Linked DNA regions of Solanum lycopersicum. The main gene of each other region encodes a partner of the protein of the gene in region 2 in a complex. Links are inferred from orthologs where the notes say so. Each region holds a gene or a part of one and is shown on either strand. Other genes may lie near its edges.

What was found. The genes of interacting proteins can lie anywhere in the genome.
Region 1: conserved oligomeric Golgi complex subunit 7 (region 2) and conserved oligomeric Golgi complex subunit 5 share a complex: the UniProt entries of both Arabidopsis thaliana proteins name them as parts of the conserved oligomeric Golgi complex. The link is inferred for Solanum lycopersicum from reciprocal best matches to the Arabidopsis thaliana genes EYE and AT1G67930.

The regions. Positions count from the first base shown.
Region 1 is NC_090809.1:2,247,540-2,252,259, forward strand, and holds the start of conserved oligomeric Golgi complex subunit 5, read right to left. Parts: upstream 3,152-4,720; 5' UTR 2,915-3,151; coding exon 1,775-2,914; intron 1-1,774. UniProt on the Arabidopsis thaliana protein: Required for normal Golgi function.
Region 2 is NC_090804.1:1,813,821-1,818,325, reverse strand, and holds the start of conserved oligomeric Golgi complex subunit 7, read right to left. Parts: upstream 2,980-4,505; 5' UTR 2,852-2,979; coding exon 2,567-2,851; intron 2,455-2,566; coding exon 2,365-2,454; intron 2,245-2,364; coding exon 2,125-2,244; intron 2,029-2,124; coding exon 1,927-2,028; intron 1,799-1,926; coding exon 1,524-1,798; intron 732-1,523; coding exon 586-731; intron 178-585; coding exon 1-177. Other genes in the region: ultraviolet-B receptor UVR8, read left to right, coding at 3,721-3,919. UniProt on the Arabidopsis thaliana protein: Required for normal Golgi function. Necessary for embryo development and pigmentation, especially for the expansion of cells and organs, and for the formation of the organized shoot apical meristem (SAM).

The DNA.
Region 1 (4,720 bases), on a different chromosome or scaffold from region 2:
TGAGTCCACCATTGAAAAATAAGGTGGATTGTTAGATATTCAGTTTCTAATTGGGCACATCAGAAGATTAAATCTCTGAATCAGTCATATTTAGGGGATGCCATCTTTGCTTCCTTGTGTTTTCTGTTACCAACCTCATCATAAAACACTAAATGAACTTAATGAGGAATATTTCTAAATTAGGTCATGTCTCATCACATGCAAATTGCAATCAAAACAGAGTAGATATTTAAGAAATACGGAAAATTGTCACACAGCCAGACATAAGAGTTCACTGTGTTTCTTAGTCTATTATTAAGTAAATTAGTAGGAAGAGGGCATTATTTGTTCTAATAGATCAGTGGACCTTTGCACAGTGAAAGGAGAAGGCAGCAATTGTTGGAGTAAGACAGCCCCACTCTCAATGCATGAGTTATATTACACAGGGATTATATGGCAGGAAAGATTTTTGGGGGACAAGCAAAAATTCATTTCAAAATTTTATTCTTCTAAGATTTAAATCTTTAGGAATTAGGATCATAGAATCAGCTCAAATACACTTCTCATTTCATTACAGATTTGTTAGCCTTACTTTCTATCAGATTCACCGTTCCTTTAAAAGAACTTACCATACTGTACCCTTGGTAGCAGAAACCATTTCATGGACTGATTAACTTAATATTACCGATGGTTTCCTTTTCATTGTCAAATAAGTCACCCTCAAACACAGGGCTATAATTGGGGACAAAAGGACTTGTTGTGACCCACATTATGAGAACAGAACAACATAATGAGGAGTTGACAGTGTCTCACTACCTCGCATGATTACAGCTAATTTCATCATTTTCCACAGAATATTGCTTTCGGATACCTAAATGTAACTGCATAAGGTTATATACATTTCTTTTGGAATGAAAATTCTTTTACCCTATGGACACAATCAGCTAATCTCCCTTAAAAATTGCTCAAAGTTGGTCTTTTTCGTGTTGAAGTAGATTTCATTAATAGCAGCAAACAGAAACAAAAGCAAAAATTACAAAAGACAGATTGAGTCAGCTCGTATACAAAAATCGAAGCTCTAAGTAGAGAGTTGATGCAATCCCAAAAATGATTGTTCATAGTTGGTCCGCTTGGGTCATACCAAGGTTAAAGTCATAACAAGGTTAACTAAACCTAAGTTACCAAATCGGAGCAACAGATTCAAGCTCAATGCTACCACAAGTCATGAAACTTGGGGGCTCCCTGGGAGTAGCCAAAAGAAGAAACTGCTTGCTATCAGAATTCACTATTCCTCAAGCAGTACTCACCATACTGTACTTTTTTCTGCGAAACTTATACTGACCACTTTTTCCCTATTAATTGCCTCACTAATCACCCTCAAACACAGGATCAGGACCCTGAAAAAGGATATCCGCATTATCAATAACACAACTACATAATGGTGAGTAGTGAAGACAGTCTATCGGTACTTCCCATGATTTCATTGTTTTCCATAGAGTATTCTTTTAGATATCCTGAATGTAACTACCTAGGATTATATATATTTCATTTGGAACCAACCTTTCTAGCAAAGATCCTGATAACACGCTTAAGCTGGCTCAAACCAGGTCTTCGGTTTCTATCTAGCTATAAAGTTATTTTGCAGCTTAACCAATTCCATATTTCCAACACAAGGCAACATATTCAGGCTTAATGTGATCATGCCATTTTAGACTACAAATAACTCAATATAAGAAAAGCATCATATATAACTTCTTAGAAACAATTCATATCAACTAAAGATGCATTCACACACCTGCATGACCTCATCAAGCAGCAAGACATGCGTAAAGGGGTCTCTTTTCTTCGATAAAACCCTCTGCAAATGCCAAACAGCAACCACAATGGAATGCAATTGGTCCATACAACCACTCATCCTTTGCCATAATGCATCCTTCGCCTTTGCACTTCCCCCAAACTGTGGTGTCCCACTTCTCTGCACCCCTCCCGGACCAAATCCGCCACCAGCAGATATAGCTTTCATATCCAAAGCAGTCGTTATACTCTTCACTCCCATTGCCTTATACTTGCTCACTAACCCATCCACAGTTCCCCTCAACTCCCCCATATTATAAAACACCTGAAGCCCAGCCCCAACTTCAGCTTGATTCAAGCCTTCAAGTCCTTTTTCCAAAACTTTCATCCCTTCAGCCCGTAATTTCTGCCCAATTTCAAGAACCCATTTGAGTTCCAAATCAACCACATCAATCCCAGCTAAATGGTACTCATTATAAAGCGATAGTATCTCAAAATGTAGCTGAGCAGCTTTCGAAAGATCCAATTTTTCCGGGTCTGGGGTCGAATCCATGAGATCCCTAAGCTTTTTAGACAACCGAATAGTCCTAATTGTCGATTGAAGCAGCTCAGTAGCTGAATGAAGATTCGAAAGCTGAAGGGTCTTCACTTCAATTACTTGATGAGGATCAGAGAGTTCAGAACGGACCCGACGTAGCGACGACTGAAGAGACGTAACCGATGAACGAAGAGTCGAAAGTGCAGATTCAGCAGCACGTAATGAAGTAAGCTGATTGAGCAAATCATGATGACGTGTAAGAACTTCATGACGAAGCTGATGGTCAAGGAGACGGAGACCTTCTTGAAGCTTCTCGATACGTGAAGCGGTAGAACCGGAGGAAAGTGCGGCGGAGGAGAAACGTGTGGAATCAAAGTCGGAGGATAGGAAGGATGAGAAAATGGGATCGGAAGTGAAGGAATCGAGAGGGGAAGAGGCAGGTGTGAATGGGGTAAGGCCGGAGGTTGGAGTAGGAGTAACGGTAGCAGTAGGGGTGGGGTTGATGGATCTGTCTTTGAAAGTTGAGAGACGTTGAAGGGGAGATGAAGAAGATACGGGTGTAGATGATAAATGCGTTGATCTCTGAATCGCCGGAGACGCCATTGATTCCGGCCACCGGCGATGTAACAAAATGCTGGCTTTTTCTGATCGTTTTGAACTGAGTGAGAATTTGGGTCTGTTTTTCACATTTTCTTAAACAAGTTCTAAAAGAGGAGTTAGTTTATTCATTGCAAATGTAGTGATAAAATTCCCCTATATTTTATCTTTTTGAAATTTTATTTATAAAATTATACGGAATATATTATAGTTATTGTAATTTAGAAAAATAAGTAATGACATATTATTAATCATAATCGTGGATATCATTATATTTCCTCTGTTCCTATTTAGTTGTTCATTTTAGAAACATATTATTAATCATAATCGTGGATATTATTATATTCCCTCTGTTTTTATTTAGTAATTTATTTTAGAAGTGACACACATATTAAGACACCAATTATTATCATAGGTTAATTACAATTTTATCTTTAACTTAAAAAGATTATGCAACTATCTAAGTATAAAAAATATTTTTTTTTTGGTTTCAAAAAGCATGCATTACAACTTAGTAACATTTGAAATTTACTAGAATTAAATAAGGGCATATAAGGAAAAATATTATTGTCTTTTCTTGATTTGTTAAAAAAGACGAATAAATCAGATATAAAAGAAAATATGGACAAGTAAATAGAAACAGATATAAAAGAAAATATGGACAAGTAAATAGGGACAGAGGGTGTATTTGTTAACTAGATTTCTTTCCTTTTCAAGTTAATCAATCGTCTTTTTAGTTAATTTCGAAATTTGTTCTTTAGTCATCTACTTTTAAAGGAAAAAAAAAGATAAATATACCCGAAACTATCGCAAATAATAAATACCCTCCGTCATAATTTCGGGACATTGATGCTCTTGCCGTCCAAAAACTAGAATATATATATACACTTTACACTAACGGACATACACGTGCCATAATCTTATTTGTCGATCCGACATTTATCGACGAATAAAATTGTGCCACATGTTCCTACGTAGTATTCCGTTAAAATGAAGGACATATATGCTCTAATTTTTTAACGATATGGACACTAATATCTCAAAAGTATAACGGATAATATTTACATATCATTTATGATATATAAAGGATATATTTATCCTTTTCCCATAACGGATTATAGAATTTGAAGCCCAGGAACAAAATAAGAAAAAAGTGGGAGATAATAACGGTTTCACACACAAAAAATTTGTTTAAATAATTTTTGAGAGATTTTCTATTTAAGTCAACATATTTTGTTATGTAATCTATTAATAACATTTGTTGTTTTATAATGAATTATCAATTAAGTTAAAAAGAAACTTTTTTAAAAAAAAAAAGTTACAAAGAAACTATTGTAGAAGGATATTTTGTGAAATAAGAATAAATAAAATTATTAATAAGTAAAATTTGCTCAAATAGTTAACAATTTTATCATTTTTAGTAGAATAAGAATTCGAGAAAAAGGAATGAAGTCATTTTAGTAATGCCTAAAAAATGCATAATTGTCATTATTCGTCAGGTTAAATAAAACAATATAGATTTAGTAATTTATAATAAATTTATCGTTGGACAATCTAACTTATGTTATTTATTCAAAAAAAAAATATTGTTTAAACTTATTACAATTACAATGAAACTCACCAAATACATATTATCATATTATATATAAAAGAAACACTAAACTCATTAACATAAATAGATTGCAAGTTTAATGGCAAATAAAAGGTCATATTATCATTACTCGTTGCAACAAAACTAACATAATCATCTATTATGTTTATAGCATAAAAACGATTTTCGATATATGCTTAATTTATCGATCAAAAATCATA
Region 2 (4,505 bases):
GAAGGTACACTGCCTTCAGAGCATCCAGAAAAACTTGAGGATCGGCATCTGAAAACAGGTGTTGAATGTTCCTAGCAAAGCTCCCTGTTGTATTATGAAGTTCAATAAGGGCTTCCAAATGTTTAGTCTGAATCTTGGCACCTTTTGGCAAATCTCCATTTGAAATGTCAATTATACCTGAAAGTCAATGCAAAATCTGAGGCAGAATGGATGGAAAACATCCAAGAACTTTGTTATCCAGGTATAGCGATAGTGACATCCAAAAACAACAAAATAGGGAAATTAGAGCTGAATCTTGCATGCATAAATTGGTGATAGTGACATCCATGGTTGATTTGCACGCTCAAAACTTCAATTTCAACAATCCATGTATATGACTAGTTTAAGCCATTTATATGCTTGTGAACTAGTTGGACACCAATTCTTCAGAATGTTTGATGAAACAGAGAAGGCAACATCATAACAGAAAGATCAGAAAACACGATAAACTTATGCTTAGATGAAACTACATGCAACTGTGAAAGAGAACAAGAAGTTATTCAGATCATGGTTCTCAAAAACTCCTAAAGAATAATAAAACCTCACCTTTCGCCAAGGTTTTTGTCTCAGTCACGGCATCCCCAATGGCAAGATTGATCTGTGATGCAAAACTCACACCAATAGTTGACATTGCTTCATTTAGTAGGCTTGGTACAAGAGTTCTGTATTCTTCTGGAAAGGCAAACATACACCTGCAACAAAAATATCTATTGTTCACTAGAGGATCATTAAATGGAGATATCAGGTTGTCTCCTCATTTTTATTACGATTTCAGATATCAATTTTCCACGTGTATTTACTCTAGTTCCTGCCACTTCAAGATACCGTGAGCAATGAGAAGCACACCTAAGCACTTTCATGACTGCAATGAAGTACCACTTAACTGAAATGAAACTCCCAACCTGCAATGCACCTAAGTTTCAGTACTTAGGTGCGCCTGGTGCCTCAAGGAAGCCTTTAAAGACATTGTTTAAACCCTGGACCTCCAGGTTCTTACTCTAACGCCTAAACCCAGCCAACAACTCGTTTTGGGACGTTTATCCATTTCATTATAGTAATCTTTTTATTTCCTAAGTTGTACTCGAATAAGAACCAATATCGAGATGTCAGTCTAGAATATAAGAATGCTTAATCAGTAACCTCAATTAAGACAAAATTAAAAAATCTGAAAGCAAGAGAGCATATGACTTCCAATCTCTAGGAGGAAAACAAAGTAGATTTTTCTTTCTTTTTTCATGAAAAAGTACCAAGTGAGTTAGCTGGCCCGACATAAGTTGGTCCACAGTTCAAAACTCTGGAGAATATAGCTTTCCCTCTACCCTGCTTTTACATAAATTCCAGGCAACTAGTCAGTGGCAGGGTTCTAACCCGTGACATGCGCCCCATTCACACGTCTCACATTGTGTCCTTCCACTGAACCAAAGTCCTAGGCGCAAAACTAAGTAGAATTATCTAAGAAAAAGTTGCAGAAAAGCTATTCGTACCACTTCCACTCCTGTTCAAGATAAAGCAACAATTCATCGTAGAAACTAGTCAGCCAACTTGAGAATGATATCATGGACGGTTGAAAATCCTGAGAATTTGATAGTCTATCCATTTCACTTTTTTCATTGGCAACTTTATTGGCCTGCTGCCTCAAGTCAAAATCTTCCCAAAGCCGCTTTATTGGCTTAAGGTGGACCATGGTGTAGTGCATCTCTAACGACTTGAATCTCCCAATTCTCAGAAGAATCGCACGCATTTCTTGGGCAACATCAACCTACAAAATAGCAACAAGCGTTTATTACAGTTCTCTTAAAGATTTATGATGCAAGAATGCATTCATTTAAAAACATACAATATAACCTTTAGAAAAGGATTACAAAGGAGAAAGAGAGCTAAAGTAACCTTTCGATTGCTTAGAGCATCTGTCAGTCGAGGTTGGACAACTGAGTCTAGTCTGTCTTCTAAAACTTCTAGTTGCCTCCTAATATTGGCAAATTCAGCAACCTGAAATTGCAAAAGACTTAATAAAGCAAGAACTATTTCACTGCACATACCACACACATTGGCATGCTATGTAAAAACAAGCAAGTCGAAACTCACCTCTCCAACGGCAGACAAACAGTGCCTCATATTAGCCAGAGTTTCTGCAGCTCGTGGAAGGTCACCACTAGCAAATACCTCCTCCACTGTTGAGCTTAATTGAGTTAAACCAGCAGCATCCTTCAAACCAGAAAATTCAAGTATTTCGAAGTCATAAAATCAGAAAATTAGCATGAAACTGGAATAATTGCTAGTGTTAAATACAGTGAATGATTTCATCTAGAGTTATGAAAATATTACCTGCAATGTCTCATATGCAGCTTCCATTCTCCGCTTGACCGTATCAACTTTTGCTAATGTAGCTACAGATTCAGCAGATGATCCCTCAGCCTGTGCAAAGGAATCAAAGTTATGAGATAGGAAATGTGTCATTGCTTTAATTTCAGTGAAGCAAATGATGCAATAACAGAAAATGTAAAAATGTAGGGGAAAGAGAGAGAACTTTTTTAAGTTTTTGGAGGATGGCAGAGAGAGAGGAGCGAAGGGAGAGAGCATCGTCACGAAGGCGGATGACATCTCGATTAGCGCGGGGGACACGGAGGAGTGCGGCGGAGCTTTGCTCCTCCAGGGAAGCGGCGATCTCTTCAGACACCATCTGAAGCTTCATTTCCAGATCTATCAAGTGTTTGTCCAGTGGATCCTGTGGATGCCGTGACTGGCACGCTGAGTTTATCCATTTTTTCGGATCAAATTTCTCGTCGGAGAAGGAACTCAGATCCACCATCATCGTTGCCGCCGATCACTGGTAATCGCCTTTGCTTTGCTTAGACAACGTCTCAAACCACCACATTTAGGACCTGTTTGGAAAGTGAATTTTTTTGCTTTGAATTTCTGTTATATTTGTTTCACTAATATTTTACCTTGCGAGTTATTTATTTTTATTTAACTTTTAATAAATTATTTTTTTAACAAATATTCTTATAATTTGATGACATCAATATTTTTATTAAACATATACTTCATGTTCATAAATTTTTATTAAAATTTAATAAATTATTTTCTTATCAAATACTTTTATAATTCGATGATATTAATATTTTGTTAAACGTATATTTCATGTTCATATAAATTATGCACTTTAGATTTTATGATTATTTTAATTAAAATATACTATTTTAAAAAATATTATAAGATTAATTATTTTTAATTTAAACAATTAATTTTTTTTAATTTAATATTATCTTGTGATTCTATAGTGCAATTAAATAGTATATAATTATTGAAAATTCTAAAAAATATTTTTTATTTTGATTAACTAATTAAATTGAAATATATTCGGATTTAATAATATAAGTGATATATTATCTCTAAATCCTATTCAAATTTAGAGAGTTTCAACACTTTTCGCTTTATTTTATGTTTCTATAAGAATTCGATTGCAGATAAATTAAGTTTAGTTATTTAAATATTGAGATATTTTTAAGGATATCGATAATTTAAAAATAAAATTAATAATTAGTTTTTAGGTAGAAAGAAACTTCTATTTGATAAAATTTAAAATTAAATATAGATTTACAAATAATTCTCTCTCTTTTTAAGATTATCATAAATCATCTCATTTACTGCAAAATCAAAGTTGATAAAAGTACATGATTGATGGAAGAAACCGAAAGAATTAAAAGCAGAGAAGAAGAAGAAGAAGAAATATGGAGCTGGGGAGCAGGAACAGAGGGACAATTAGGAACAGGAGAACTCCAAGATGAACACAAACCTCAACTCATTCATTCTCTTTCTTCTTTTGGTCCTATTTCTCATATCTCTTGTGGTGGAGCTCATGTCATTGCCCTTACCCCTGGTATGATCTTTTAATCTACTCTCAGAACTTATATTCTTGATGGGGTTTATGGTTTTTCAGTAAAGATGACATCTTTTTTCGTGTGAGATTCGAATTTGTGTATTTATGTGGTTTTTACTTGATGGGGTTTGAGTTTTCTTTTTTTGGTTTGGGATTAGGAGGAGGGGAAATAATTACAGGATGGAGAATCGAATTCTTATCGATATGATGAATGTTCATGTATACAACTAACTGAGCTACTAAGATTTCTCGTGTTTTAAGGTTTTGCAGTAAAGTTGACACCTTTTTTGTGTGAGATTCAATCTGTGTATTTTCTACTTGATAGGGTTTAAGTTTTATTTTGGAGGGTGGGGTTAGGAGAAGGGAAAATGGGGAAAGAAATACATAGTAGAGAATCGAACCCTTACCAACAAGGTGAAAGTTCATGTATCCAACTAATTGAGCTACTAAGATATAGCAGGGTTTAAGGTTTTGGAGTTAAGTTGATACCTTTTTCATGTGAGATTTCATGAAAATATATTGACTTTTTAAAGAAGGAAAAATGAAAACTTTGACAGTGTCTCGCGGTTAAGATGACACCTTTTCG